Oryzias latipes: one gene and its partners. The protein of the gene in region 1 purifies or fractionates together with the protein of each later gene. This does not show direct contact. Links are inferred from orthologs where the notes say so. Each region holds a gene or a part of one and is shown in the gene's direction. Other genes may lie near its edges. The genes, in order: ppp2r2d, cdca4, ppme1, ecsit, ppp2ca and ppp2cb.

The links.
Region 2: the proteins of ppp2r2d (region 1) and cdca4 purify together in Homo sapiens (affinity purification with mass spectrometry; 3 studies listed by BioGRID and IntAct, counting the BioPlex papers as one, with this or other methods). This does not show direct contact. The link is inferred for Oryzias latipes from reciprocal best matches to the Homo sapiens genes PPP2R2D and CDCA4.
Region 3: the proteins of ppp2r2d (region 1) and ppme1 purify together in Homo sapiens (affinity purification with mass spectrometry; 4 studies listed by BioGRID and IntAct, counting the BioPlex papers as one, with this or other methods). This does not show direct contact. The link is inferred for Oryzias latipes from reciprocal best matches to the Homo sapiens genes PPP2R2D and PPME1.
Region 4: the proteins of ppp2r2d (region 1) and ecsit purify together in Homo sapiens (affinity purification with mass spectrometry; 3 studies listed by BioGRID and IntAct, counting the BioPlex papers as one, with this or other methods). This does not show direct contact. The link is inferred for Oryzias latipes from reciprocal best matches to the Homo sapiens genes PPP2R2D and ECSIT.
Region 5: the proteins of ppp2r2d (region 1) and ppp2ca purify together in Homo sapiens (affinity purification with mass spectrometry; 8 studies listed by BioGRID and IntAct, counting the BioPlex papers as one, with this or other methods). This does not show direct contact. The link is inferred for Oryzias latipes from reciprocal best matches to the Homo sapiens genes PPP2R2D and PPP2CA.
Region 6: the proteins of ppp2r2d (region 1) and ppp2cb purify together in Homo sapiens (affinity purification with mass spectrometry; 6 studies listed by BioGRID and IntAct, counting the BioPlex papers as one, with this or other methods). This does not show direct contact. The link is inferred for Oryzias latipes from reciprocal best matches to the Homo sapiens genes PPP2R2D and PPP2CB.

What each region holds. Positions count from the first base shown.
Region 1 is NC_019873.2:19,563,360-19,568,211, forward strand, and holds the start of ppp2r2d (serine/threonine-protein phosphatase 2A 55 kDa regulatory subunit B delta isoform), read left to right. Parts: upstream 1-1,604; 5' UTR 1,605-1,781; coding exon 1,782-1,788; intron 1,789-1,975; coding exon 1,976-2,050; intron 2,051-3,432; coding exon 3,433-3,530; intron 3,531-3,624; coding exon 3,625-3,790; intron 3,791-3,862; coding exon 3,863-3,975; intron 3,976-4,055; coding exon 4,056-4,233; intron 4,234-4,351; coding exon 4,352-4,516; intron 4,517-4,619; coding exon 4,620-4,789; intron 4,790-4,852. UniProt on the Homo sapiens protein: Substrate-recognition subunit of protein phosphatase 2A (PP2A) that plays a key role in cell cycle by controlling mitosis entry and exit. Involved in chromosome clustering during late mitosis by mediating dephosphorylation of MKI67.
Region 2 is NC_019880.2:21,571,618-21,576,467, reverse strand, and holds the start of cdca4 (cell division cycle-associated protein 4), read left to right. Parts: upstream 1-1,578; 5' UTR 1,579-1,821; intron 1,822-4,210; exon of another isoform or gene 4,211-4,850. UniProt on the Homo sapiens protein: May participate in the regulation of cell proliferation through the E2F/RB pathway. May be involved in molecular regulation of hematopoietic stem cells and progenitor cell lineage commitment and differentiation.
Region 3 is NC_019872.2:16,424,889-16,429,540, forward strand, and holds the start of ppme1 (protein phosphatase methylesterase 1), read left to right. Parts: upstream 1-1,729; 5' UTR 1,730-1,912; coding exon 1,913-2,004; intron 2,005-2,659; coding exon 2,660-2,753; intron 2,754-3,304; coding exon 3,305-3,397; intron 3,398-3,536; coding exon 3,537-3,594; intron 3,595-4,007; coding exon 4,008-4,059; intron 4,060-4,652. UniProt on the Homo sapiens protein: Demethylates proteins that have been reversibly carboxymethylated. Demethylates PPP2CB (in vitro) and PPP2CA. Binding to PPP2CA displaces the manganese ion and inactivates the enzyme.
Region 4 is NC_019876.2:29,029,872-29,034,489, reverse strand, and holds the start of ecsit (evolutionarily conserved signaling intermediate in Toll pathway, mitochondrial), read left to right. Parts: upstream 1-1,372; 5' UTR 1,373-1,593; coding exon of another isoform or gene 1,594-1,618; 5' UTR 1,619-1,649; exon of another isoform or gene 1,650-2,159; intron 2,160-3,249; exon of another isoform or gene 3,250-3,257; 5' UTR 3,258-3,344; intron 3,345-3,485; 5' UTR 3,486-3,547; coding exon 3,548-3,679; intron 3,680-4,401; coding exon 4,402-4,618. Other genes in the region: eml3 (echinoderm microtubule-associated protein-like 3), read right to left, coding at 1,594-1,618.
Region 5 is NC_019872.2:4,039,604-4,044,178, forward strand, and holds the start of ppp2ca (serine/threonine-protein phosphatase 2A catalytic subunit alpha isoform), read left to right. Parts: upstream 1-1,599; 5' UTR 1,600-2,631; coding exon 2,632-2,733; intron 2,734-4,575. UniProt on the Homo sapiens protein: Catalytic subunit of protein phosphatase 2A (PP2A), a serine/threonine phosphatase involved in the regulation of a wide variety of enzymes, signal transduction pathways, and cellular events.
Region 6 is NC_019867.2:193,453-198,280, forward strand, and holds the end of ppp2cb (serine/threonine-protein phosphatase 2A catalytic subunit beta isoform), read left to right. Parts: intron 1-1,116; coding exon 1,117-1,287; intron 1,288-1,938; coding exon 1,939-2,112; intron 2,113-2,189; coding exon 2,190-2,279; intron 2,280-3,026; coding exon 3,027-3,188; intron 3,189-3,277; coding exon 3,278-3,396; intron 3,397-3,508; coding exon 3,509-3,581; 3' UTR 3,582-4,041; downstream 4,042-4,828.

The sequences.
Region 1 (4,852 bases):
CCTTTATCGTGGTAGGGAGAACACGTCAAAGTAAGGGTGGGGTCATCTAAGATAGCACAAGGATTAATCACATTCTGCAGTTTCTGTTGAGCTGTTATTGTGTTAGAAATTTTCAACAGGAGATGGAAACGAGAAATGATGACCATAAGGTCAAGTGTTGGATTTTCAGACCAACTTCCCCTTTTTATGTTTTCTTTTTACACAGCGCTCCAAATGTACTCTATAAGTGTTTTCATCAAATAGAAAGGTAAAGCCTTTCAAGAAGTGTTCTATAAAATTAAAGGTTAGCTTTACTAAAAAGAAATTCCTATAGTTTTATTGAATACATTTCTAATCAAATAGTGAACTATTGTATGAGTGTGTTCAACTTTATTATATTCACTTATTAATTATAAGGGCAAACAGATTTGTTCACATTTTGAAAAGTCGAGGCGGCCGTGGTGCAGAGATAGAGTGGTCAACCTCTTATTAAAAGAAATCGGGTTCCCATTGTATCAAAGTGCTCTTGAGCAAGGCACAGAACCTCACATTGTTCGAGGAGGTATTAGGATGGCACCAGATTTCAGCAGCGAAGCCGCCATCAGTGTGTGAGTGTGTGTGAATGGGTGAAAGGGACTGTGACTGTCAAACACTTTGGGCCTTCTAAGAAGGTAATAAAGAGAGCACTACATAAATTTACGCCATTTACCTTTTTTTGTTCTTTCCCTTTCTATAAAATTTCAATTTTAACAAATACATATCTTTAATTCATATGTTCAGTTGTTTTTTTTATTTTGTTCCATTTACTCATAACTATATACGTCTATTATAATTCAGTATTTCATACAAAGTGCAAAACATGCAATAAGAAAGGCTATGCATTTAATTTTAAGAAGACATCTGAGTGGCAAGCTGTTAAAGCCTCCAGTAGCCCTTTTAAGCAAATGGCTTGTTTATGCTTAAACTATGGAAACTTCACATCACTTTGAATTATGAGAGAAAGAAATCCATATCAAACTGAGACAGACAGGGCACTTGCATTGGTTCAGTTCCACAAAATGCAGCATTTGTGGTCCTTACAGGTAATGTCAATTGGCTTTTCACCTTTTTTGCCACTAGATGTCACTGATGGATCGTCCAATCAACGCGGTAGTCCTCAAAGTTGTCATGCAAAATAAAACATCTTGTAAAAAAATGACACGATAGTTTCTTTGAAAGATCAAAAGTTTTTTAATGTATTTTTGTCAATATTTTATTTTATTTTTCCTTAAACTTTTATGTTACCAAACTTATTTATATATAGTCAGGTTAATCTTGCCTATGACCAATTGAGAAAGACTTTCTGTAAATGCAGATTTGTTTTCCATTTATTAAAACTTAAACTGTTACAATAAGTAAAAACTGATTGAAAGTGATATAAATGATCTAAATTTTATTCATAAACCTGGAAAAAAAAACGTGGATCTGAACTTAAAGATATTATTTGCGCACATTAGTGTGTGTATCCGTGTAATAAAGCGCAGCACTGAAAGGGAAAAAAAAGGCTAAATGCAGATGTTGTGAGGTGATGCACGGGAGAGGATGGATGCAGCCAGGATGTGGCATGTGTGCATGACGTCATTTCTCCATGTACCGTGCGCCATTTTGGAAGAAAAAAAAATCACGGATAATTTCCGTGGTCTTGACAGATCTGGAGCCGAGTCTGCACACTGATTGTGGATGTTATCTGTTTTCTCTGAGCAAGCCGCATTGGTCGATCAGGTCTTGGAAGTTTCGTACAACAAGAGCTGCTAAATGAAGCAATGGCGGGTAAGCTACTTTTGAAGGGAGCAGAAGAATCCGGCTCTCTTGGTTGGTGTGATGGCCTGAATCTGAGAGTTAGCTCACCACCAGCGCAGCGGCAGCGCTAAGTTGTCAAACTGTGTCACTGTCGGGCCATCTTCACCGCCAAACGCGGCGTTTTACAGCTGCTAACTACCGCTGTGTTCTTTCGCAGGAGTTGCAGGAGGAAATGATTTCCAGTGGTGTTTCTCTCAAGTAAAAGGAGCGATAGATGAAGATGTTGCGGAAGGTAAGTAGCTTACGCTAGCTAGGCGGTTATGCTAACCCCCATAACGGTGGTCAAGCTAGCAGGATGATGGGGCTGTGTGGGTCTTCACGTGTGATGCGCCGTGTGTGACTTTTTGAGGGATGGACGCACATGTTGTACGAGCGGGGCAGCTGGTGTCGATAAATGTCTGTTTGCGAGCCACCTGGGAAAACGCCCTTTTAATCGCCGTGTGTTGCTAACAAGCTGAATGCTAGGTGCTTGCTAAACTATTAAAGGGGAGCGACCGTGCCCATGACGTCAATGTACTGCGTCTATAAATTGTGGAGGCAACATGGTTTGTTTGTCGAACGTGTGCGTATCGAGGTTGTGTTGTCGACGTTTTATTTAAATATATAAAGTTTGGAAAATGTTGTTCAAAACTAAAAATATACAAGATATTTTATTTTACCTTTTATTTATTGTTATTCATCTGTCCCTTCCGGCTGAAATTACTAAAGTATTTTATGTATTTATTTAAATTTACAAAATGTTAAGCTATGTTCTTTCATGTTCACTAAATAAATAAAAAACTATCCAGGTGTTAGGGTCAAAATTATGCTCCTCTTCACTAAAAATTAGATGTATATTTACAGAAATATAGCATTTCAGTCACACGCCCATGTACCTTTTTTTTATGCCTACGATTAATGCTAATTAAATTATTTTTGCACGTTTTAAATGTTACTTTTAAGCGTTTTTTAAAAGCAAAGAAAGTCTTTTTGCTTTCAGGTGGGGAAACTGTCAATTCGCACATATTTTAGGGTCACAGTTAGGGTTAAAGTGCGTCCAAGCAATTCATAATGAATTTCCATCTGTTTTTGTGTTTTGTTGTGCATAAATACAAGCAAATATCAACGTTCTTCTGTTGAAGATGTTACATAATTTTCATTCCACTGATGTGAAGCGTCAAGTTGTATTTCCAGTCTCACAAATGCAGAGTTACATTTTGTTCTTAAAGGCTTTTATTTTTGTCAAAGCAAAGCAGCAGTTGGACGCTTTTCAAACTGAGCTCAAACCTAAATGATTTAAGCTAATATCTACAGTTGTTTTGTGAGATGAAACTAAACCATAACAGATCTAAGCTATTTCTAATTACTTATGTTTTCTGCATTAAACGTTTTAGCAAAAAATGCTTACATCACATGATTTGTATTTGCATGAGTATACTCACAAATGTAGGAATTACGTATTATTTGGTGCTAAAACTTTATTGTAAATAGATTGGTATTAATGCATTTTACCAGTTGTAGTTAGTCCAGTTTGACTCATATTTTCTACATTATTTTCTACTAAAAACTAAAAGATAACAGCTAAAAAAACAGATATTTTAGTCAGATTTGCTGTAACTCGTGTCTGTTTTTCAGCGGACATCATCTCAACCGTTGAGTTCAACTATTCTGGAGAATTACTTGCAACTGGAGACAAAGGCGGGAGAGTAGTGATTTTTCAGCATGAACAGGAGGTAGGGTTTCTTCACAAAACACCACGCTTACGATCATTGTTCGCACAAGTCTACGTCGTCATTTCATTTTCCCCACTCTTTCTTCCTCTTTCAGTCTAAGAATCGTCCACACTTGCGTGGGGAGTACAACGTCTATAGCACTTTTCAGAGTCACGAGCCAGAATTTGACTATTTGAAAAGTTTAGAAATTGAGGAAAAAATTAATAAAATAAGATGGCTACCCCAACAAAATGCTGCTCACTTTCTACTTTCAACAAATGGTAGGAGGGTTTTTTTTCTCCATAATTTCTGTGTATTTTGAGGCTTTCTGACCTGTTTTTTTTCTCTCTCAGATAAAACTATCAAATTGTGGAAAATTAGTGAAAGAGATAAACGGGCGGAGGGTTACAACCTGAAAGATGAAGATGGGCGAGTCCGAGATCCTTTTAGAATCACCTCTTTACGGGTACGTAAAATCCCACCATTTCATCGTTTCATTCATTTTGGAAGTACTTTGTTGTTAACTTGTCAGGTTTTGTGTCTCAGGTACCTGTGCTGATGCCAATGGATCTCATGGTAGAAGCAAGCCCACGGAGGATCTTTGCAAACGCGCACACCTATCACATTAATTCCATTTCTGTAAATAGCGATCACGAAACTTACCTCTCCGCAGATGACCTAAGAATAAATCTATGGCACTTGGAAATCACAGACAGAAGTTTTAGTATCCTTTTCTTTTAAATATCTCTAGAAAGTTTTCATTTGATGGTTTTTTGTTTTTTTTGTGTGTGATTCTGTTCCACAATCCTGAGACCATCAGTTCCTTAACGGCTTGTTCTCAGATATTGTAGACATCAAGCCTGCCAACATGGAAGAGCTGACAGAAGTAATCACAGCTGCCGAGTGCCATCCACACCAATGCAATGTATTTGTGTACAGTAGTAGCAAAGGCACCATCCGCCTGTGTGACATGCGAGAGGCAGCACTCTGCGATAGACACTCCAAGTGTAAATATCTGTTGGATTTTATCTGTAAATTTAAAAAAAAAATCAAAACCTTTGTTTTTTTGTTTTTTAACGGTTGTTTCTGGGTTTTTTTTTTGCATTTCAGTCTTTGAGGAACCTGAGGATCCAAGCAGCCGATCCTTTTTCTCTGAGATCATCTCCTCCATCTCAGACGTGAAGTTCAGTCACAGCGGACGCTACATGATGACACGTGACTACCTCTCCGTCAAGGTTTGGGACCTGAACATGGAGAACAGGCCAGTGGAGACGTATCAGGTACACACCGCCATGACTTCCTATGCTTGGATAATCTCGTCTGGAATTAGATCCTAATGGTCA
Region 2 (4,850 bases), on another chromosome or scaffold:
TCCACTCAGCGGTAAAAATCCTCGCCCTGTCGCTGCAGCTTGGACCAAGAGAGAAAGCCACCTGGAGCTTCATCTCCTGCCAAACGCAGACAGCTCCTAAATGCCTGTTCACACCGGGACGAATTTCGCGCGCGATATTCGCCGACGTTTAACGCCTTGTGACTAAACAAAGGGCACCAATGTGAGTGTGCACACCGACGCGAAAAAACGCCACGCGTCAAAGCGTCACTTTTTAAAAAACGCCTTGGGTTCGTTTTTTTGGTTTGACGCGTCGCGTCGAAATCTATTCGACCAATGAGAATGGCGCTTTTGCACACGTCTCTGGAGCTTCTGAAGTCACAGTAAAACACAACTTGGGGGCACTCAAACACAAAACTGCCTTTCTAAGCACACATACCAGCGAAGAAGATAGACGCCAAGTAGCGTCTACACTGCCGCGAAGAAATAATGACGGACATTCTAAAATATCCCCGAACCAAGCACTAGTTGGAGCAACTGGTGCTTGAAATATTCATGTTTTCCTTGTATTATTCTGACAAGCGCGTAAATACTTGCTCTCTTCTTCTGTATGAAAAGCGACTTTAAGAAGAGTGAAGCTGCGCAGCGCCACCTTGTGTACAGGAGTATTTCTGTTTACATTAAGCGCCATCTAATGTCAGGGAATGAAATTGCATGTTTGCTCGGCTCATCGTCAGCGAAAATCGCCTGGGTGTGAACACAAAAGACGTGGCGAAAAACGCTGGCGAATAACGTCTGGCGAATATTCGTCCCGGTGTGTACGGGCCTTAAGAGACGCAATGAGTAGAGGCCCTGACACCCGCTGCCCTCCGAACGCAATCCACGTCCCGTGGGATCGAACAACGTGGGGTTTCTATCAGCGATCTTGATCGGAGCGTAGGGTTCAAAGACCTTTCCTGTTTGTGGTGTCCTGCCAGCCTCATCGGCCGCTTCCCCTTCTGCTACACTAGCCAGTTGCCCGGTGGGCAACTGAGCTGTCCACTGAAGCCAACGTGGGCAAACACAGGTGGGGCCACATTTTCTGCCCACTTTTAAATCATATAGGGCCCACTTGGCCTTGCTGGCTGGGAGTGGGCTGAACTTTAGGAAACTAGAATGTAAATGGATTTGACATTCATTCTAGTTTACTTGTTTGTATGGACACATATTTCATTTAAACTTGATGATCTGGAAGAAATCCAAGAATCTGGAAAACTTCACTGTTCAGTCGCAGAAATGTCTGTCTGAGTCTCACTGCTGGAAGTTTGGATGAAGATGATCTGGATCCACTTTAGATCAGAGAATCGGATCGATCAAACTGAACCGATATTGATATTGTCAACCACAAATAATCGAATCGTTATTAAAGTGAATCTACTCCCCCTAGTAACAGATGTTCTTAAATCACAAAAAATAGAGCATGAACGTTGTTATTGTGTCAAATGTTTTTTAAACATACACATATGGATCACGTCTTTTAAACACTTTTCATCCTTCTGCCAACGTTCTTTACACAAATGTCGTTTTGCGCCCCTTGGGCGTGCGTGCGCCTCGTCGTTTTAGTGAACGTGTTTCGCCGTCCCGCCGCGTATTGCGTGTTTTTGCGTGTTTCGGAGCGGGGCAGACAGATGATGAGCGCGGCGCAGGCCGGCATATGGCTGGCTGGGTCCCCTCCCCCTCCCTTCCTCCGCTCCGCTCCGCAGCAGCAGGACGGAGCCGCTTCAGTTTTGAAGCCGTGGCATGAATGATCTCATCTGAACCCGATCTCCGCTCTCCCTGTCGTCGATCCTATGACCGAGACAGGTAAAATAAGGCAGAAACGAGGTGAGTGCGGCCGCCGTGTTTTTACAGCCGGGCCTCGCAGGGACCGTCGGGGACGTTTAGTTCACGGCCGCCGCGAAAACTCCTGTTTTTGAGAAAGGAGGAAGGACCGCGGAGGGAGGGAGGGTGGGCGTTCGGAGCGTACTAGCTTACCGCTCGCTAGTTTACACGTTATAAAGAGGACCGAACAGGGACAGAGAAAATGCCATATGTTCGATTCCGCCGCGAAAGGCCCGCTTGTGACCATTGGGGGACGGTTATCCGGCGCCAGTCCACAGACCGCATTCAGAGTAGCGCCGCGGCTAGCCGGCTAGCTGTTAGCCGCCAGCGCAAAATGGCCTCATTGTCGGCCGCTGGAAGACAAAGCGTGCGGCGGCGTCGCCGGCGGCTCTTTACCCCACCACTCCCACCGCCGTACTTGGCGGTCGGTACCAGAGCGTGGTTGACGGAGGGGAACCGACCGCTTTGTGGGGCGCGCGCGGACGGTGGTTTTAATTGATTAGGCGGCGCGGGCTGTAAAAGTGCCGCTGCCTTTTCTCTCCGCGGTGGGGGATGGGCCCCGGTAGCAGCCATTGACGTAAAGCGCGGCTGCATTTTGTTTGGCCCCAGCTCTAAGTCTTCACTGTTTACATGAAAATCACCTCCAAAAACGACACGTTTTCTCCGTTTCTGGACGTGAAAGGAGGCATTTCCGGGTGTCTGTCCACATCTGTCTCCACACCGTGTGGCGCATGGCAGCATTTCCCGGTTAAATAAAAGACGAAGTGCAATAATATATCATGAAAAACAAGATTACATCCTTATGTGGAGGTTTCATTATATATACACGTCCACTTAGAACAATTGAGCATTTATAGCAGACAAACAAATGTAAAAATCAATACAACCGCATTATTGGAACCTTCTTGTGCAAAGGGAAGAACTTGATTAGCAAATAATCTTCTAAAAACAGTCGACATGTTATAAATGTAAACGTTGAAAACATAAGTCTAGACACATTTTGTTTTACATTACTAGGAAGTGAAATAAACTAAGAACAAATCGATTTATTTGGCAATTACTATAATTATCAAATGTGTTGTTAATTTAAATGTTTTATTTTCCCACCATTTAAAGGGCTTATATCATGCCAAATGAATGCTTTTTAGTGTATTTTAATGTTCATTCCTCACAAAAACATCCCTAAAGTGGCTTTTTGATCCAGTCACTCATTTCTGAGTATTCCTCTAAAAACCGGATCTCTGAGCCCCGGCCCCTCCCAATCCATGAAAACAAGTGGGTCCTCACATTGTGACATCACAAAGTGAGGACCCGCCCCTTCCAGGAAGAGTCTGAGCTGCCAGCTCCGCCTCCAGGCTAAAAGACACACCCACTTTCTCAGTGGAGCTAGTGGTGATCGGCTAAACAATTTCATTTTTTTTATAAACATCCATCTTTGGAAAAGTTCAGATGTTTGACGCTCTGCTGAAGCCAGCACTAGGATGATGTCATAAAATGGGTGGCACCCACAGGGAGAGAAAGGCGGAGCCTCTGTGATCGAGTCGTCTTACATCCTAGTAGGAAAATAAGCTGTGAAAATAGTGTCCCAAAGGTAATATATGATAATAAATATGGATATAGTTTACTCTGAAAGGCTTTAGAAAAGAAGGACATAGACCCTTTAAAACCAATTGGGTAAGCCTAACTCCCGTGTGTCACCCATGCTACACCAGGTCCATTTCTTTAATGAGATGACTAACTATTTTCATTAGTTCACCTTTTGGCACATCCCATTAGGGGTCGCCACAGCAAATCAGCTTTCATTGAAAAAAAAAACTGGTGGATAGGCCCGAATTTCATACTTATATATATATATTATATATATATATATTATTATATATATACCATTGTCACGTTCAGGACGAGCCATTGACCTCCAAAAACTGGACTGAGTGAGTGTGACATCATCCACAGAAAACGCTTTTCTTATAGCCAAATAAAGTCAATTCTGTCAATTTTGGCAATACAGACATCACCATGTTGGAACCAGATGTTGTCGGTGAGCAGTGATCGGTCGGTCTGAGTCGACGTTTCTATAGTAATCACTCTCACCAATCAGGAGTCAGCTCGTTGGAAGCTACACCCCTACCACTTGAATTCATACGAAATCTGAATGTGGGTAGCCACTGAGGAATCTTATCTGTCAGTTTATAATTTGAATAACTTAAACAAAGGAAAAAATATCATGTAGAAAAATTGAGGATTATTAGGAACATTTTTTTTAAAAAAGGTATCAGAGCCAGAGCGGTTCTTCTGACCAATAGTATGACGGAGTAACAGCTGTTTCCCTCTGGAAGTCTGTGGGATTTTGGCTTCTTGGAGCCAGCAGGTACTTCCTGTTTGGAATGCCAGAGGGGGAGGGGCTGCTCGGTCCAGTTCTCTTATACAGTCAGTTGTACAACCAGTTTTTTTTTATAAATACAGGAACTGAACATTTTGTATTTGTAAGTCAGTTATGTCAGTAACACTTTGAATTTCAGATCTTTTTTTTTACCCATAAAATCTAAATTTGATCCAAGGTCTACTAAAACCTTGGATCAAATTCATATATATATTTTTTAGATCTTTTAAATGTGAAATCACTGAGAAAACGGCAAACTGTGGTTAAAACGGGGTAAACGTGTGGTGACTGAATGTGAACAGACACACCGCCTGCTGCCACGGCTCAGTCCTTAACAAAAAAAACGCAAAAGCTCTATTTTATTCAACAGGACCAGTCTGACATTTAACCCCAAAATGCTGAACTTCAAAGTGTTGGCTGCAGAAAAACCCCATTTAGGATGTCCAAAAGTGTCTTGTTTGTGCAGTAAACTCTGACCTGTTTCTGTACACGTTTCAGAGGTTTTTCCTTTTGAGGAGGTAGGGGACATCACAAATGCTTGTGTCCATAACTGTTTGGTTTTTTTTACCCTTTTTGTATTTTATATCTCCAGGGACCTTCTTAAATGACCCTCCCCACCCCATTCTGCCCCCCTGTCACGAAGTGTTTGATC
Region 3 (4,652 bases), on another chromosome or scaffold:
ATCAGGCATTCTTGTTAGGGGTTGAGAACCATTCTGTTTGTGGGTTTTGCTGTTGACTCGCTTCAGTCTTGGATTGGATTGTTGAACCCTGTAAATGTAGCATCATATTCAAATTAAAGGATTCTGGGGTTGTTTTTCAGTAACTACACTTTAAAAGCATCCATAAATCCCTGATTGTATGAGACCCCTCTCTCCTGCCAGTCCAAAAGTACTGGTAAAATATTGTTGAAAGTAGTCCATGAAAGTCTGGTCCCAGTAGTCCTCTTCTCGTCAGGATGCCCTGGTTTGCACAAACCTATCTGAGCTGGCTAACCAGGTTGGCATTTGATCTGGCATGACTTATGATTAAAGCGTTCTCTAATTGGACAGCTGAAAGCTTGTTATCAAAAAATAGTTTATATGGGTCAATGGCAAACACCTTTATGTAATGTCACGTGACACTTTCTAAAGTTTAAAAGTAACATCTCCTAAGAAAACTTCTTTCTGTATACCCCCACACCTTTTTTTCACATTTAAAATTTGGTCTATGTTATAAATTCTAAGGTATCAATGTAATAACTTCACTACAATAACATACTGACGTGTTTATTGCAAACACAGACAAAGAATTCAACTATCTTGCAGTTTTTGGTGATTTATGGCTCAATGAGTTCCAAGCAGCTTTATGTTCTCCAGATAGAGCTGCCGTTCTGCACATTTATTTACTTTACATGCAGTCCAAGACAAGGTTTGTTAAAAGAACAATTTATTTTTACAATCATTCAATTCAAATAATAATTTGTGGTTGGTGATGTGATTCATAGTCGATATTGGTTAATTTTAAACGGTCCGATTTGATCTAAGTCAATGGCCTAAAATGGATCCAGGGAATCTTTAACAAAAAACTTAACCAGTGTGACTGAGTGATAAATACCTGGATACTAAACAGTGCAGGTGAAGTTTTCCAGATTCCTTGTATTTCTTGCAAGATAATCAAGTGTAAATTAAATATAAGAACAAACAAACAAGTAAACAAGAATTTAAGGTAAATCCATTCACATTTTAGTTTCCTGAAGTTCAGCCCACTATTGTTACTCCACATCAAAATAATACAAACAGAACCTCATTAGAACATTCTATCATACTGTACGGTCATATGTCTTTCCTAATTTCAAAGTGGAATGATGGACTGTATTTCTGCATTTTCCAACGTTGATTAAAATGGCATTATTTCATTTTGAAACAATGTTATGATGCTACAGGTGATTTTATTTGATTCAGTTAACAACTTCCCTTAACATATCGATCTGGTTGGATTGTAGGAGTATAAATCGATTAATAGTTACATCCCTAAATATTATCAGCTCAGTAAAGAGTGAGAGAAGGAAAGACAAAAGTTCAATTTTTGTGATTCAGAAAAAAAATACTGTTAAATATGTTGTGAAAATGCGTATAAACAAATTGTGACACATCACATCATCACTGTAATGAGTGAGGGACTAGCGTTTAATATTAACATGCCTTACAGTGTAAAAGGGAGGGAGCAGAAGAGAAAAGACTTTTCAGCCGATTACCAGTCTAATGGACGACAACTTGTTGTTTTTAAGACACGATTTTAATCATTGAGAAAAATGAATATTTTATAAAGCACAGAAAAAGCTTTGATGATTACTTGTTCATTCGTTGGAGATATGAATGTACTTTTTTTACCGCTAGGTGGCAGCACTTTCAAAAAATGAGTAGAAAACCACCTCAAAACTACGCAGAACAAGAAGAAAGACGGAAAATACAAAGAAGCCGTTAGCCTGTATGCTATAGCGATTCATCAAATGTTTGGTTAACGTCAGTACAAGTGTCAGAAACTATCTTATGCAGCAAAAGAAAGGGAAGGCTATATTAGACATCTCTTGACAGAGCGCTCTTTCCTCACAGCATGGAGAAACAGTTGCATTTAAACCTGCTGGCCTCCAGACCTCCAATGGCTGGTCCTGGTGGATTTCAGTCTGGCTCTAAAATCAAGATGGGGTGAGAAGCTAACAGTTCATAAAACGTTAAAGGGTTTTTTTATATCTACATTTGCGTGTTATTCTTCATACCTCTTGTCAAAGCCATACTGTGAACTTTTGTCTGAATAATAGCTCGCCGAAAAGCCAGACACAGCTGAAGGAAAACCAATATTTAGTTAGCATTTAGGCTAGCCTAGTTACCGCTTATAGAGTAGGCACGACCCGCCTTCTGCAGCTGCTGCAGAGGTTTTTTTATACATATAACTCCTTTGAGTTAACAAAGTCTAGCTGATGCTGTGTAGAGCTTATCGTTTTCTTTAAGAAAAAAATCAGAATATATATACGTACTTGTTATGTTCTGATCCAGGAGACCCCCGTTACGCCCACCAAAGGATAAACAAAATCTAGTTTACAATACAGTTTTACTGATTTAATCCAAAAGTGTAATTACATTCTTATGAAGATGACTCTTTCATTAACTTCGTTAAAGTGGTTCGTTTTCTGCATAAGTCGTGCCTCTAAAGGGGGCAGCTGTGTGTCAGCCAGCAGAATAGAAACAGTAATTTACTAATGGGTAATATGGAGTCAAACCACAGTTTGGAGGTACAGATAGTATGTATATTGTACATAATGATTTCCCCCTCATTTTTATTTGTATTTATATTTTTTTATAGACCTGGCCGGAAGAAAGATTTTACTCCACTGCTTTGGAGTCAGTACTTTGAAACCATGGAGGATGTTGAAGTGGAAAATGAAAATGGCAAAGATATATCCTTCCCAAAATCTCTGTTTCACAAGAATGCCGTGACGATTTTTTGTTGTTTTGATTTACGCATATCATGGAATTAAGATTCAAATGCTTTTCAAATTCTTCGTCTAGGCCAGGGATCTGCAACCTTAAGCAGTAAAGGAGCCGTTTGGGCCTGTTTCTTGCTGATCAAAATCTCATTGGAATCACAAAGTCTTATTTTGCCCTTTAGGAAAAGTTGATACTACTTTATTTTTGGCTTGAATATAGAGCAAAAATATAAAGTGAGAGTAGCTTTTTCTCAAAGTGTGAAATTTTTTCTTTTTCTTTCTTACTTTTGACAGAAGCTTGTATGACTTCCTTTCAAAATTAGACTTCCTGTGCCGAACAGGGTCATCCTATTGCAACTAATGTTCTCCTAAAAAGGTTTTAAACAACGCAACAGCATCTTTTTTGTGCAACATGAGGCTCCGGAGCCACATTGCAGACTCCTGGTCTAGGTTTTAGTTTTGCTTAGCGTTTTAATGTAGTGCTTACAGCCTTGCGTTTTGTTTTCTTGACCGCACAACACATTTTCAGAATTTACTGCAGTGGTTCACTTGGTCCTGTGCTGTTGCTGCTCCATGGAGGAGGCCATTCTGCACTTTCTTGGGCAGTGTTTACTGTGGGTATCATTACCACTGCATAATCCCCTATTCTTAAACAGTAATCGTACACCAATATAACGAGTAATAATAACAATATGTGTGTTGCAAGACTGCCCAGAATACAGATTGAAATGACCTCTGTATATGTCTCTACAGTCAGTCATATCCAACATGATTACCTGTAGGGTGGTTGCCATGGACTTGCGAGCTCATGGTAAGGAAAATACTCTGTAGGCTTTGGAACAAATGACTTTTTCCCATTTTTTAAATGTAAAATAATTTCTGTAGAACTGACATTTTTCTGCAAAAATGATGGAATAAGTTTTCCAATCATTACTCTTTAAAAAAAAAAAGAAAACTAATCTGAGATTGTCACGGTAAGATGAGAAAGCTTGGGAATCCTTTCAGGTGATTTTTAACTAACAATTTTATCCACCCTGTAGTATATTCTCCAGAAAGACTAACATTCTCATTCTCTGCAATACATTGTGAGGAATTTTAACTTTTTTTTTTTTTTTTACTCTACACAAATGTGTTTATATATAAATTTAGAACCAATGCTTTGCTTTTTTTTTTTTGTTTGGTAAGCGTAACAAGAAATTCTGAAACTCGTCTTTAAACCTGCAGGTGACACCAAAGTAAAAAATCCTGAAGACTTGTCGGCAGATACCATGGCAAAGTAAGATACCGTTTTGTAAATACTATCTCTTTTTGTCTGAAGTGGGTTTATAGTTTGTTTGTTTGTTTGTTTATTGCTGGCTTATGTCCAAGAAATATATGAAATCCTATAAACTGGCTATATATGGAGTGATTAAACTACCAAAAAAAAAAGATACGTTTTGGGTTTTTTTATGCAATTGTATTTTTCTTTCAGAGTTAGTAATGTACCAAGTTAATCTGTTTTTCTTGTAATTATGTATTTCTTGTAAACTAGTAAATGAAAAAGGGAACCAATTGTTGCCACCTGCTAGACTGCTGCTGATTTGGAGTAATATTGTTGGACACTGTCAAGAAAATGAAAGATTTTCAAAATGAAATAAAGTGTAAGGAATTAAGTACAGAAATGCAAAAGCAAAACAACAACACAATTTTTGTGTATGTCGTCTTTATTTTAAAAAATCCTTTTTGTAGCATTTATCTTTTTTGACGCTACTCTTCAGATGTCACCTCCACTTGTTAATCCCGTTTCTTCTTCTTTAACTCGTTATATTTTTAGTACATTTATGTAATCGTGCCAAATTAGTAAAATGAATGAATTTCTGGCTGGGGCGA
Region 4 (4,618 bases), on another chromosome or scaffold:
ATGGAAGCATGGAAAATGTCAATAAAGCTTTCCCATTAAGATTTCTCCATTGTGGGATAAATAAAGTTATCTTATTTGAATTGAAATGTGAGCCAAGCCAAAAATGTTGCTACTGCATTGAACTTAGGAAGTTGATCAGAGAGAGCAGACAGGGTTTTATAGGCGAGCCTCCTGGAAACATCCAAGACTGGATTATAAGGAAAGAACACAAAAACCTAAAGAGACTGATCACATGAGTCATTTAGGAGATTCTGCTCCACAACTGAAGTTGAACCTGAGATTGTGCACGGACAACAGAAGCTCTATTTCTGTGAACAACTACAGAGATTTATGTGGTTATTATTGATTTTCTAAAATCTAAAATACTGTTACTTTATATTTACTGACTTTTTATGTAAAGAACCCAGAGAGGATTATTTAGTAACAGATCGGCTTGTTAACATTTGGTTCTGTGTGGCTCTCAGTTTACATTTAGGCCCCCCTGCGACTGTCACACTTTCTCTGTTTCAAACTGACCACGGCCCCCATCAGAGGATGGAAACGTCTCTGAAAAGTCTGGGGACCCCTGCGTTAGAGGTAAGACTGAGATGGTTGGGACATGTCCAGAGGACAGACTGAAGGATGCTGAGTCTAGAGGAAGACCAGAGAGGAGGACTCTGGATGAAGGAAGACATGAAGGTAGCTGCTGGTAGAGGATGCAGGAGACAGACAGAGGAAGCTGATTGGCTGTGGAGACCCTGAAGGGAAACACCCAAAGGAAGAGAAGAAGATGAGTGGATTGGAGTACACACCCATCGAGGTATTTTGACGTTATTTCTGTTGTACAGTCAGTACTCTGGTCTAAACGGAGGAGGATGACAGACGTGATGGACAGAATGAGGCCTATAGGGGAAGTCCACATCCTCAGGTGGGGTCTCCGCTGCTCCTGACACCTTCAGCCAGAGTTCTGCAGGAGCTGCAGCTCATTGATGCAAAAACGGAAACAAGAAGCGCCTCCAGCTGAATCTAAGAGCCTCCAAATGAAAGCTGCGGGAATCTGAGCGCACGAGACGTTCCCAGACGTTTAAGGCATCAGCACAGAAGGGCCCCGCAGGCCCCGCAGAGGCCCCAGATGTGCAACAAAAGCCGCTTCTGTCTGTCCCGTGGAGCGGAGCCCGACCCGCTGCTGTCATCCGGGCCGTGTTTGCTGATCCGAAAGTGAAGGCATTCCTCAGAACCGCCTTCAGGTCATGAGATAAAGCGCTGCTTCCAAACCGCAAATATGACTTCAGCCCCGCACACCCACGCACGGCGCTGCGCCCGCGGCACACATCTCTGCGCCTCGCTCGACGCGGAGCTTTACGCGGCCGTTTGCAGGTGAAAAGCGGGCTGAAGACAAACCAACTACTGTCAGAACCGAACCGGAGCCAAGAAACGGAAAGAGAAAGTTGTGAACAGAACCCAAACAAATGTTCTGAAGTCCTCCACCAACCGGACATTTACAAAAAAACTCCAGGATGACTGCTCCCCGCAGGAGCAGTGGATCGGAACCAGTCAGTCAGAAGCAGCGGGGCTGGCGCTAAAGTTCGGCTGGTTCGGAGCAGAACTACTCACCCAGACTGTTGGTGGAGGAGTCCATGATCCGGTTGAGAGGCGCGGTGCGGCCAAAGGTTTGTGTTTTTATACTTTAAGGTGTGTTTTCCATGCTCACGCGGGAGTGTCTCACAAAGGCTCCAGTCAACTGCGGGCGCTGCAGCACACCGGAAACGTGAATGCCGCTCACAGCCGCGCGCTTCACGCGCCAGGAGGAACCCCGCGAGCCCTGCAACCGGATTACCGACTCCCAAACTGACAGCAGAACTCACAGGGATCCATCAGCGGGACATACCGCTGTCATGTCAGTGCTGCAGCCCCCCAGCCCCAGAAACCCCCCCGGACGCTGACAGCCAGAGCGAAAAATGTTAGTGTGGAGTTTTCAGCTCATGCAGCGCGGCGATGCCTGCTGCTGCCTCAGCGCCGCTGTTTCTGTCGCCCCCGCGTGGCGTCATCCGGAACTGCATGTTGCTGAATAAAGCATCTGCTGCTGCTGATCCCGTTTGATGTCCGCCGCTGGGAGGATCACATGACCACGTTCAGCCTCACCAGACTTAACCAAACTCCCAAAACACAATCCGACTACCCCCCTCCCCCCCATTGTCCTTCCCTGCAGCTGGGTAAACAGACAGGAGGATCAGATAATATCTGAATGCATCAGACAGATTTCACATCAAGGAGAAATGAATAAAAATCCCATTTTTGGGCTCTTCTGACAATAGTTACATCACAGTTTCTTGGTTTAAAAAACAGATTAAATTCTATGAACCATTTCTCTGGTCCAGCCTTCCAAAATAAAGGCCCAATACACAAATAAAAAGGCCGTTTGGATTTGATTTATTTCAAGCGATCAAAACCGAAAAGACAAACAAAAGACATTTATGTATAGATCAAGTATATCAAACTCAAGCTGATTTGTCACGAAGTGATTAAAAAATCTAAAAAGTAAAACATATAAAAACAGTTGCAAACATATATTCCTTTATAGTTACTCTTAATCATAAATATTTGCACTTATATAAACAATACACGACATATTAAACCTATTAAATTAAAATTTATTTTCCAAAAGAGTTTAATTATTTGAGGAGTAAGAGAAAGCTAATGAACATAAACCCACCCCTATTGTGCTTTATTTAACTTGTTTTTACATATTTATCATATTCTAGTTTGTAACTTCTGACAAAAAGACATGACAACATTCCAGAAATTAATATTACTCAAACATTTAGTGCTCAACGATTATTGCATTAATTATCGTTTGATAAAACTTCCCTCAAAACTATCAAAGCAAACCTGTTTTTTTAACGGCTTTCCACTTTTTTCTAAGTTAAATTCTTCTCTACTAAACTTTGGAGGCCTCTCCTGACTAGCTTTGGGGGGGGGCACTATTACTTTATGAATGACATTTATTTATCTTCCCTCTTGCTGAGCTTTTGTCACATTAAAATCCACCTGGTTGAACACTTGCCACCAGCCTTGACAGGAGGGTTTGGGGTTTGAATCTCTGCACCTCTCTGCCTTTTCCTGCTGCTGCTAAGACGTATTTTATGTTAGGAAGAACGGTTAGTATTTACGTAAACAAATATTTACATTTTCTCTGTCTAAAATCACCGGGCAGCACAGCGCGGAACTTTCTTCTCCGGACCTGCGGAACGATTGTTGCTGTTTTTCTCTGTTGTGAGGGGGAAGGAAAAAGGTGCCGGACAGAGGACGTTGGTTCCCCGGTAAGCTGCCGCCGTGTGGTTGTTTTGAAGGAGACTCGTTTTCAGGTGTGTTTTGAGTGTTTTCTTGTCACTTTGCTTCATTTTTTAATCTCTTCCGGGAGTCACTGATAACTAGTGGGAGACATTTTGGTGCTTGTGATCCTGGCACGCGCTCAGACCTCCCTGAGTCCGTCTTTCTTTCGATAGCCGTCGCTGTCTGTCTGTCTGTGTGGATCTACCATCTGGACGGTGGGTTTCATGGCTCCACCATGAAGGTTTCCCGCTGCCTACAGCGGCTGCAGGATCTGCGGCTGCTCCGATGCTCGTGGCAGACGGCGCGGGTCCTCCAGCCAGAACCCCACGGTCCGCGCGCCGCGCGGAGCAACCCACAGCAGCACCGGGTGAGTTCCGGCCCACCCCCTCCTGACGGGCCCTGAGTGACAGGTCCGAGATCAAAGGTCCCGTCTGTGTGAGTGACAGGTCCGAGATCAAAGGTCCCGTCTGTGTTTTACCTCCTGAAAACAGGAATCGCTTCTTTCCAGCGATTCATTTTTAATGATCAATGATTTTTCACAATACAAATATGTCAATCAAGTTACAAATGGTTCCAATCAAACGTTCATAAAAGGAAAAAAAAAGTAGAATTATTTCAAATTAAATGTTTGTTTTGCTATTTTTAAGCAAATGGATTGTATTCTATGTGAGGTTCTTGTATTTGTATTGTTACTTTTGATTACAGTGACAAAGAACTAGTGTAAAAGGTGCAAAAGACTCAGTTTAGAATAAAATTAGAATATGATGTTTGTCCACATGAATATGTTTTAACAGATTTAATTGGATCTCCCTCTGTTTTTATACAACGGTAGTGACAGGAGTTCTGCTGTCAATTCAGTTAAAGGTTTCCTCATTGAATTGAATTTTAAAATATCATCCTTAAAATTGAATAATAAAACTAATTTTTCTGAGTGTTAAATCATATTTTTCTATTATCTAGAGATTGCAATAAAATGATTTGGACTGATTTGAATAATAATTTCTTTATGTCTAGACCGTAACTCTGAAGGAGACTAAAGAGTCTCCTGACCTTTGTGACACGTTAGCCCCTCTGGACGCTCTGTTGCAGGTCCTGAGGGGATTCCACTGCAGTCCCGTCTTCGCCAAGGACCCCCGCCTTCCCGGACGCTTGGTCGGCGAGGACGACAACAAGAGGCAGACGTCTCTGGTCGCGCACGATGACCTGTTCGAGCAGATCGCCATGGGCGCCAAAAGCAAGGCCACGTTCGCCAAGGTGATCGACGTCTTCAACAAGAGGGATATAAGGCGGCGGGGTCACGTGGAGT
Region 5 (4,575 bases), on another chromosome or scaffold:
ATGAATTCTGTTACACTGCTAAACCAGGAAAAAGCAAGACGACTGCAAACTTTACATTTTTTGTACATTAATCAGTAATGTGAGCTTCAGCTTCCCAGCTGAAGGCAAAGAAGTAAGTCTCGGATCAATCTGAATTAAAAAAAAACATGAAGTAAAACTATATATTATAAATATATAAAACTCCATTAAAACTATATAATATATGATATTTGCAGGAGTTCTTTCAAAATAAAAACCTGAACTCAAGACTTATAAAAACAAAAATGAATAAACATTAAAAAAAGAAAAGAACCAAACAAAACATAGAATATCAATTCTGATATAGCCCCTCTAATAGTCATATTGTAGTAAAAAAATGTAAAGAAAAGGTCTATGTTAGTCAGTTAAGCAGGTTTTTGACAAGTCATTTATTATTTTACTATACAAGAGTAATAAAATCGTTAAAAAAACAAAACAACCTCAAACCATAACTCGTTTGGACTTTATTTTAATTTTTTAAATAGGGTTTTCATGTTTTAAGCTAGAACCGGATTACATCATTTTTAGAACAGGTACGTTTGCGTTCTGTTTGCTTCTGCCTTGCTCATGAACCCGTGACATCATGGCCAAACTACAAAGTTCATGTTTTTTGTGGAGGATGATGTATTCTCTGTAATGCAGGTTGAGAAATCATTCTTTAAAAAAAACAGCCAATGAGGCAGCAGAGGAAGCGCTGTCGTCATCCGTCCGGGTCTCTGTTTGGATCGAACTCCATTTTCTGCTGAGTCAAATGTGAGACAAGCAACCAAACAAGAACGGAAGTGCGTTTTTCAAAGTAAAAGCACAATAACCACAATTTTTTTTTTTTTTTTTTTTTTTTTTTTTTTTTTTTTTTAGCGGGCTGCACGGTGGCGCAGTGGTTAGCGCTCTTGCCTCACAGCAAGAAGGCCCCCGGTTCAAGTCCTGGCTGGGGGACTTGGAACTTGAACATCAATGGGGGCCTTTCTGTGTGGAGTTTGCATGTTCTCCCTGTGTATGCGTGGGTTCTCTCCAGGATCTCCGGCTTCCTCCCACCGTCCAAACACATGCTACATAGGTTGATTGGCAACTCTAAATTGTCCATAGGTGTGAGTGTGAGAGTAAATGGATGTTTGATTGAGGATATTCCACCCTGCGACAGACTGGCGACCAGTTCAGGGTTTCCCTTGCCTACGCCCAAGTGGCCGGGATAGGCTCCAGCAACCCCGTGACCCCGAAAGGGAATAAACGGTTAAGAAGATGAATGAATGAATGAATGAATGAATGAATGAATGAATGAATGAATGAATGAATGAATGAATGAATGAATGAATGAACGAATGAATGTTTTTTTTAGCTGCCAAACATCACTGCAGATGATCAGACCCTCATTTTTTGTGTCAGCTATAACAATTTAATCCAGCAAAAACACAAATAAAAACCTAAAATGTAGCTGGCTCAACATACACAACATCCACCTTTTTCACAAGTTAACATTAGGGATGAATAGCGGAACAATTTCATATAAGGGTTGCACTCAGGTACAATTTAGTACTTATTGTTTAATATTTATTGTGGTACTTGCACATTTTCTACAGAATGACCATTTTCCAACTTGAAAAACTTGTGCAATGGACTCAGATGCTGTATGTCAGATTTGAAAAAATTAAAAGAATTAAAACAAAAGAAATGATTAAGAATGTGTCTGTTCTCCGTCTATGGATGTTCTTTACTAAAATTACTTAGATATTTCACACAATGTAAAATTTGTTTTAAGCAACTGTGTGGATTTTGAAGAAAAAAAAATGTCGATATTTAAAAAGAATAGTAGTATATCTACTGCTAATTTGGAAATAAATTGTTATCAGGGCTGATTTTCCCCAAAGATGCTTAATTGATTTAGTTTATTTACAGTTTCAGCTTAATTACTGCAATGATTTTACACTATTAAATTATTAGTTTTATGTAACTATTTTTATTCAAATTGCTATTTTGTTTAGTTATGCAAAAACCTTTTCCCAAAAGAAAATAAAGTTAACAAAGGCAAATCGTTCATTAAGAAAATTAAGTTACATTTGCAAAAACCAACAGGAAAGTAATAAACAAGAAGGTACTTCAGATGAAATTTAGTAATACATTTGATAAATCGATATTACATTTACTTTGTTCAGAGCAAATTAATTTAATAAGCATTTTAAAAATGAAATGAAACAAGAAACAGTGTTTGTTTTAATTTGACCGTGATTTTTCTAAATAAATATCTTGAAAAAAAATTTGATAGAGGAAAAAGAATAGGTGTTGAGGAAACAAAAACAGATGAACCACTAATTAGTTGAAATATTATATACAGGGTAAGTCTGGTGCGTGGTGCTTTTATCTTGAAGATCTTCGCCGGAAATGCAGCGTATGACCACTGACGTCTTCACATGAACCATTTTTCAGGGTGGATCGCCAAACAGAGCTGTCTCCCGCCCCTCTTCTGTCAATTCATAGTGATCTGGCAGCTGGAGGTCCATGCCTCTGTCGGTCGGAGTGAAACCATCTCCTGCGGTCAACGTTTTGTAAGCTTCAGGGAAGTCGGAGTCTCATTGGTGAACCGCCGCGGCGCCTGTCGGTGAAGAAAAAACAGCAGAAATGGAAGAAAAGGCGTTCACGAAAGAACTCGATCAGTGGATCGAGCAGCTCAACGAATGCAAACAGCTAACCGAAGGACAGGTGAAAACGTTGTGTGAAAAGGTAAGACGAGTTTATTTTAAACCCCAAATTCTGTTAACGTCTGGTCTCGCGCCTCCTCCTCCTCCTTGTGGCTTTTTTCAGAGATTCTTAAGATGGCGTCTATAGTAGAAGGAGTGTAGATTTCACCGCGCGATATTAGACCCTCACTGCCAAACCCCACTCTGTGATGGTTTTGAGCGGTCTGCTCATTCGCGGGGGGAGGAAATAACGCTCGGAGGGCAGCTCGTGGGATTTACCGGGGTGCAGACCCGTTGGAAGCGGCGCTCCCCTCCCTGCTCTCCTCGCGGGCGCCACGGTGACTGCAGCATCTCCCTAAGGCAGCTGTTGCAGCAAAAAGCCCCAGTCTGCTTTACTTACCCCCCACCCCCCATCCCGGGGGCTAAAATAAGCCCCCCGATTTTGGGACTGCTCTGAAAGTAACCCCACTCTGTAGCAGTAAAACCATCATTTTAATCAGGCATCTTTCTGGTCAACTCAGGCTGTTTGGACGTAAATGGTTTAGTCAGCTTCTTTTAGTTGTTAACCTTTATCTTCACTGAATATAAAGTTTAGAGCACATTTATATTGTATCCCGTTTTAAGCTCTTATTCATTTAGGGTTCTTTAGCTTCCAGTCTGGCTTTTGGGTGCAGAAATAAACATTGAAAGCGCTTCACTGCAGTGGATGCAGTTTAAAGGTCCGCTTCCGCCCATCTGTTGATCTTTTGTAAAATCGTTCCCAGGGTTCTTTTTACTAATAATTATGGCATTAGGTGAGGCGTACATAGTTTGTGCAGTGTGGCATTAGAAAATTGCCTCAGTTGTGACTGTTGGCACAGAGCAACCCCGCCCCCACTTCCTATCAAACAACTGTTTACATGCTCTCCTGCTTGCTAACAGCCACTCACACCCCTAACTTAACATTACAAGTGCAACAAAAATGGTTGAGCAGTATTTGAGCAACCCAGCTGTACAGTTTTGGGGTGAATGCCAGCCCAGACGAGGAAAACAAAGACGTTCGTGGATCTAGTTGTCTACAAGTGGATGCATCAGAACGGAGCAGAGCAGGGAGGTTGTGTGCCGATGATCATTTCCTCATTCACAATCATTTGACAAAAGAAAAACCCAGAAATGCAATTCTGAGCAACATTTTCTTTATATATGTCCTCCATCATCACAGAACAAGAACATGTTAAAGCACCAAAGAACAGGATCTTCATCATAGTGGGTCTTTAATTAACATAATGAATGAAGAGTATTTTCAGAGTTCTAATGGTTTTCTCCATTTAAGTAGTGATAATGGTTAGGAGGCAACCAGTTAATTATTGTTCATCTTTAGAAAGGATGCATGCATGCTTTCCTTTTGTCCCTGGGTTGTTTGATGGGTCATACATCCTGCAAAGTGGAGTGCTAGTGCTAGCAAACCATTTCCAGGCTGAGAAGCTGCTGACTTTGCTAATAAAGTAGCAGCCTATCCACCCCTAACCCTGATGTTGACATTTGCTGGATGTGAAGTCTACATATGCTTGTGCTTTATTTATTAGCTGGTCAACAGATTCTGCACACTATAGCAGTCTGAGCTGCGGCTTAACCCCGATCTCTGTGCCGATCTTTAGCTCTGAATGTCTCTAGGTTTAGAGGAAAAATTCGTCCTGAGAGTAGAGTGAAAGTGCTATTTCTTTGAACCCAATGAGATTTCTTTTAAACTTATCTTTTCTCAAATATTCTACTGGTTGAAGTCAAAGCCAGATGGAGTTTTTTCTTTCAGCTCAGGTCTGTTGAACGTTAGCATCTGGAGCTTCATGGCATCTGGGCTTGACTGAAAGCAGCTTGTTCCAGTTTGGTTTGATGTTTTCCAGCTGTA
Region 6 (4,828 bases), on another chromosome or scaffold:
TGTTTTAGACCATTTATGTTTAGAGAATGGAGGTTTGATGTTCCCAGCTCTGCTAAGTCAGTCCGCCGGTCTCTCGCGAAGCGCAGATGTGAAAGCAGCAGCGAGCAAAGAGGAGCTACTAACCCTGCTCAGAAAAAAACACTAACACGCACCGCCAGACGTGCTCCTGTCACATGACTTCTGCTAGTTTCCTCCGTGTAGCTTCAGTTGAAAGAGATGAAGCAGCAGAACATGTGAGGATTTGTACCAGAATCCAGGACGACCTGGAGGACAAAACTGCTGGATTCACAGCAGCAACAGAACGTTGATAAAAAGGGTGGATTTGGAGACAGCGGGTCGTTACACACTGATGCTACCATGCTATGATACTAAATGCTACCATGCTATATGCTACCATGCTATGATACTAAATGCTACCATGCTATGATACTAAATGCTACCATGCTATAATGCTAAATGCTACCATGCTATAATGCTAAATGCTACCATGCTATGATACTAAATGCTACCATGGTATGATGCTAAATGCTACCATGCTATGATACTAAATGCTACCATGCTATGATACTAAATGCTACCATGCTATGATACTAAATGCTACCATGCTATGATACTAAATGCTACCATGCTATGATACTAAATGCTACCATGCTATGATACTAAATGCTACCATGCTATATGCTACCATGCTATGATACTAAATGCTACCATGCTATGATGCTAAATGCTACCATGCTATGATACTAAATGCTACCATGTTATGATACTAAATGCTACCATGCTATGATGCTAAATGCTACCATGCTATGATACTAAATGCTACCATGCTAAATGCTACCATGCTATGACGCTAAATGTTACCGTGCTATGACACTAAATGCTACCGTGCTATGATAATAAATGCTACCATGCTAAATGCTACCATGCTATGATGCTAAATGCTACCATGCTACATGCTACCCTGCAATGATGCTAAATGCTACCATGCTATGCTAACGAGCTGTTCCGTGTGTCATCTACATGTGATCACGGTTTAGTCAGACTTTGTTTTCACGTAGCGGATTTTAATACATGACGGATAAATGCAACATGACTTGATGATGACGGTCTCCTCAGGTGCGATGCCCGGTGACCGTGTGCGGCGACGTTCACGGTCAGTTCCATGACCTGATGGAGCTCTTTAAGATCGGAGGGAAGTCTCCAGACACCAACTACCTGTTCATGGGAGACTACGTGGACAGGGGCTACTACTCTGTGGAGACGGTCACGCTGCTCGTCACGTTAAAGGTAACCCTCGTTAGCAGACCTTCCTGCTGAGAGTGGGAGCGCCTGAGGAGGTGGGACTGCATCTGATTGTTGTCAGCAGTCTTCTGTGGTCACACCTGCACAACTGTCAGGTTTCTGCCAAATGGTAATATGGGAGGCCGTACCTGCAGTTGGAAGAGGTGTGTTTGTGTGGCAGAGCGGCAGCGGCAGTGTTGTGTGTTCCTTTCTGTGTGTTTCTATGTTTCCGTGTGTGTTTGTGTTTCTGTGTTCGTTTCAAGGTTTCCGTGTTTCTATGTGTCCGTGTGTGTCTGTGTGTTTGTGTTTTCTCTGCGAGTTGGCGGCTGTTTTAAGAAGAAATGTTCTTAAAGGTTACCTGTTTTTAATCTTAATGGTTGTCCGTTTTGGACCGCAGACACTTCTCCTGAATAAGGAAATTAATCTTGAAGTCGGTCTTTTCAGTGGCTGTAACTCCGCCCACCTCCTCAAAGTTTGCTGTAAAGGCGGAGTCAGAGGTCCCGCCTCTGCGTGCAGCTTTGTGGTTGTCGTTGGAGGACTTTAGTCTCGTTAACCAGATCGCAGAGGTCTTTCCTCGGTTTCTCCGGAGGTGTGCGATGTGTGATGCTGTGGAACCTGCTGGCAGCTGGCAGTGTTCATGTGAGGTTTCATGCGCAGGTTCGATTCCCAGAGAGGATCACTATACTGCGAGGGAACCACGAGTCCCGTCAGATCACACAGGTCTACGGATTCTATGACGAGTGTCTGCGGAAATACGGCAACGCCAACGTCTGGAAGTACTTCACAGACCTGTTTGACTACCTGCCGCTCACTGCGCTGGTGGACGGGCAGGTGAGAGCCGCTACACCCAGACCGTCAGGCCATGGAAGCAGGAGCTCTACAGACACTGTCCTTTGCTGTCCTTTCAGATTTTCTGTCTCCACGGCGGCCTGTCTCCCTCCATAGACACTCTGGACCACATACGAGCTCTGGACCGCCTGCAGGAGGTCCCGCATGAGGTACACGCTCCTCACTGGACGTCCCGCTCAAGTGTTTTGGGCCTTACGTCATTCCAATCCTTTGATTTGGAGTTTGTGCCGATACAGAGTCCTGATCCAAAACTTTTGTGAAGTACTTTAAAAAAAAACAAAAAAAAAAACAAATTAATGAACAGATCCATTTTTTCTTTTATTCTCCTCCTTTTATCATTCAACACTTCTACGATTAAGTAAATCCTGCAGCTATCTAGTACGAATAGTTAACTATAAACTAGTCAAAACTGCTGATAATCATGGCAGAAAGTTTGGGGACTGAAGCTTTAGTATCCTCAGAATTGTTGAACATTTTTAATCGGAACAGGAAAAAATCTCAGCGCCGTTTTCAATCCTGATGGTTTTTCTCTTAAAATCCTTTCGTAGGTCGTTGTTTACGTGACACTTGCCGTCAGTTGAAAACATTTTATTAAGAGTCATTGACCCGGAACTCGAAGCTGTGAAAAATTGTGGTGATTCGTTGATGAAATGCAGACTTCTAGTAGAGTATTTATCTGGAATAATAAGCTTGAAATGATGGTATAATCGGGTTAGGGTTATGTCCGATCGGGAGACACGTCTGATTTCAATCCAGTCTGCAACCGATCGATCAACTCCGGTTTGCGATCACGTGGTCGGAGCGGGACAGCCCCGACAGCAGCGTCCTCCTCTGCTGCAGAGCAGAAGGTAAGAGCTGCACAGGTTGGTGTTAATCTGACTCCCCCCACCCCCCAGGGCCCCATGTGCGACCTGCTGTGGTCTGACCCGGATGACCGCGGTGGGTGGGGCATCTCTCCCAGAGGTGCTGGCTACACTTTTGGACAGGACATTTCTGAAACCTTCAACCACGCCAACGGCCTAACTCTGGTGTCCCGCGCCCATCAGCTGGTCATGGAGGTGAGACTCCTCATACACACACACACACCCCCGGCTGTTAGGATGGATGGGCCGTTTGTGATCATGCACCCCCACCCCTCTGTCTGCAGGGCTACAACTGGGGTCACGACAAGAACGTGGTGACCATCTTCAGCGCCCCCAACTACTGCTATCGCTGCGGCAACCAGGCAGCCATCATGGAACTGGACGACACCCTGAAGTACTCTTTGTAAGTCCCACCCCCCCGGGTGTCTCTGGATGGAACATTCCTAGAGAGTCCAATCATCATTTCATCCAACGTGTCTCTGAATCGCACCTTTACTTTCATCCTCTCTCTACAGCCTGCAGTTTGACCCCGCCCCCCGCCGCGGCGAGCCTCATGTGACTAGACGCACTCCTGACTACTTCCTGTGAATGTCCTATTGTCCCCCATAAGTCATTCACCAAGCCCCGCCCCTGCCCCACCCCTCTCATTTTGAATGGAGAAGATGCATTGAGCAGATTCAACAGAGCGGTGATGTCACTAAAGCTGAGCTTCAGCCGCATGTTAACCTTCATCTTCTCCATCTGACATGTTTGAAAACAGGAGAATAAAAAAGTACCGACGTGGACCAAATGTGCCATATTTTGATCCTTTTCCAACAACTGTTTTTGTTTTTTAGAGCTCACTATATCCCCGCCCGTCTCCACCTTCATCCATCTGTGCTTTCTTTCTGTTGCCAGATCAGTTTAAAGGAAACGTAGGAGAGTTTGCTTCAGTAGAACAGCTCTGAGTTTCAGCTGTTAAGGCTGCAGCCAGCAGTCATCTCTACTATATTACTGTAATTTCAATGAAGACAACAGACATGTGAAATAAAATGTCCTATTGACAAACCGCTGCTGTCCGTCTGCTCTGTGCCAAACAAACTGACAAACCTGGATGACATCACAGGGGTTCACTGACACCTGGATGACATCACAGGGGTTCACTGACACCTGGATGACATCACAGGGGTTCACTGACACCTGGATGACATCACAGGGGTTCACTGACACCTGGATGACATCACAGGGATTCACTGACACCTGGATGACATCACAGGGATTCACTGACACCTGGATGACATCACAGGGATTCACTAGCTGAATTTACATGGACAAAAGTAATCGGAAAGAACGCCTGATCGGAAGAAAAATGCGTCATGTAAACACGCCGTTCGTAATACTCTGACTTGTTCGGATCAAAATTTCTTTCCGATCGAGATAGGTGGGTTATGCCGATTGTGGATTCGATCGTTGTTCATGTAAACAGTTCATTCCGATCGTGTGTCACTACTGCTCTGGTTTGACGTCATACATAGATGGTGTTTTGCTCCATAGAAGCTTTGGACCGACCTGCTGCGTAGATTTATATGACAGCAAGGATGTTTACTGTGGGACTCATTTACTTTTCTGGTATTTTCAACACTACTGCGCATGCCCAAATGATTTAGTGTGACCTTGTGAACGGAAAAAGGTTTTCTGATCCCATGTGCACGGTTGATATTTTAATCCGACCATTGATCCGATCGTTATTTTGCCCATGTAACAGCGGCTACTGACACACATGGATGACATCAGGGATTCACGGATGCACCTGGATGACATCACAAGTTCAATAACGACATCCACCAGGTGTGGAA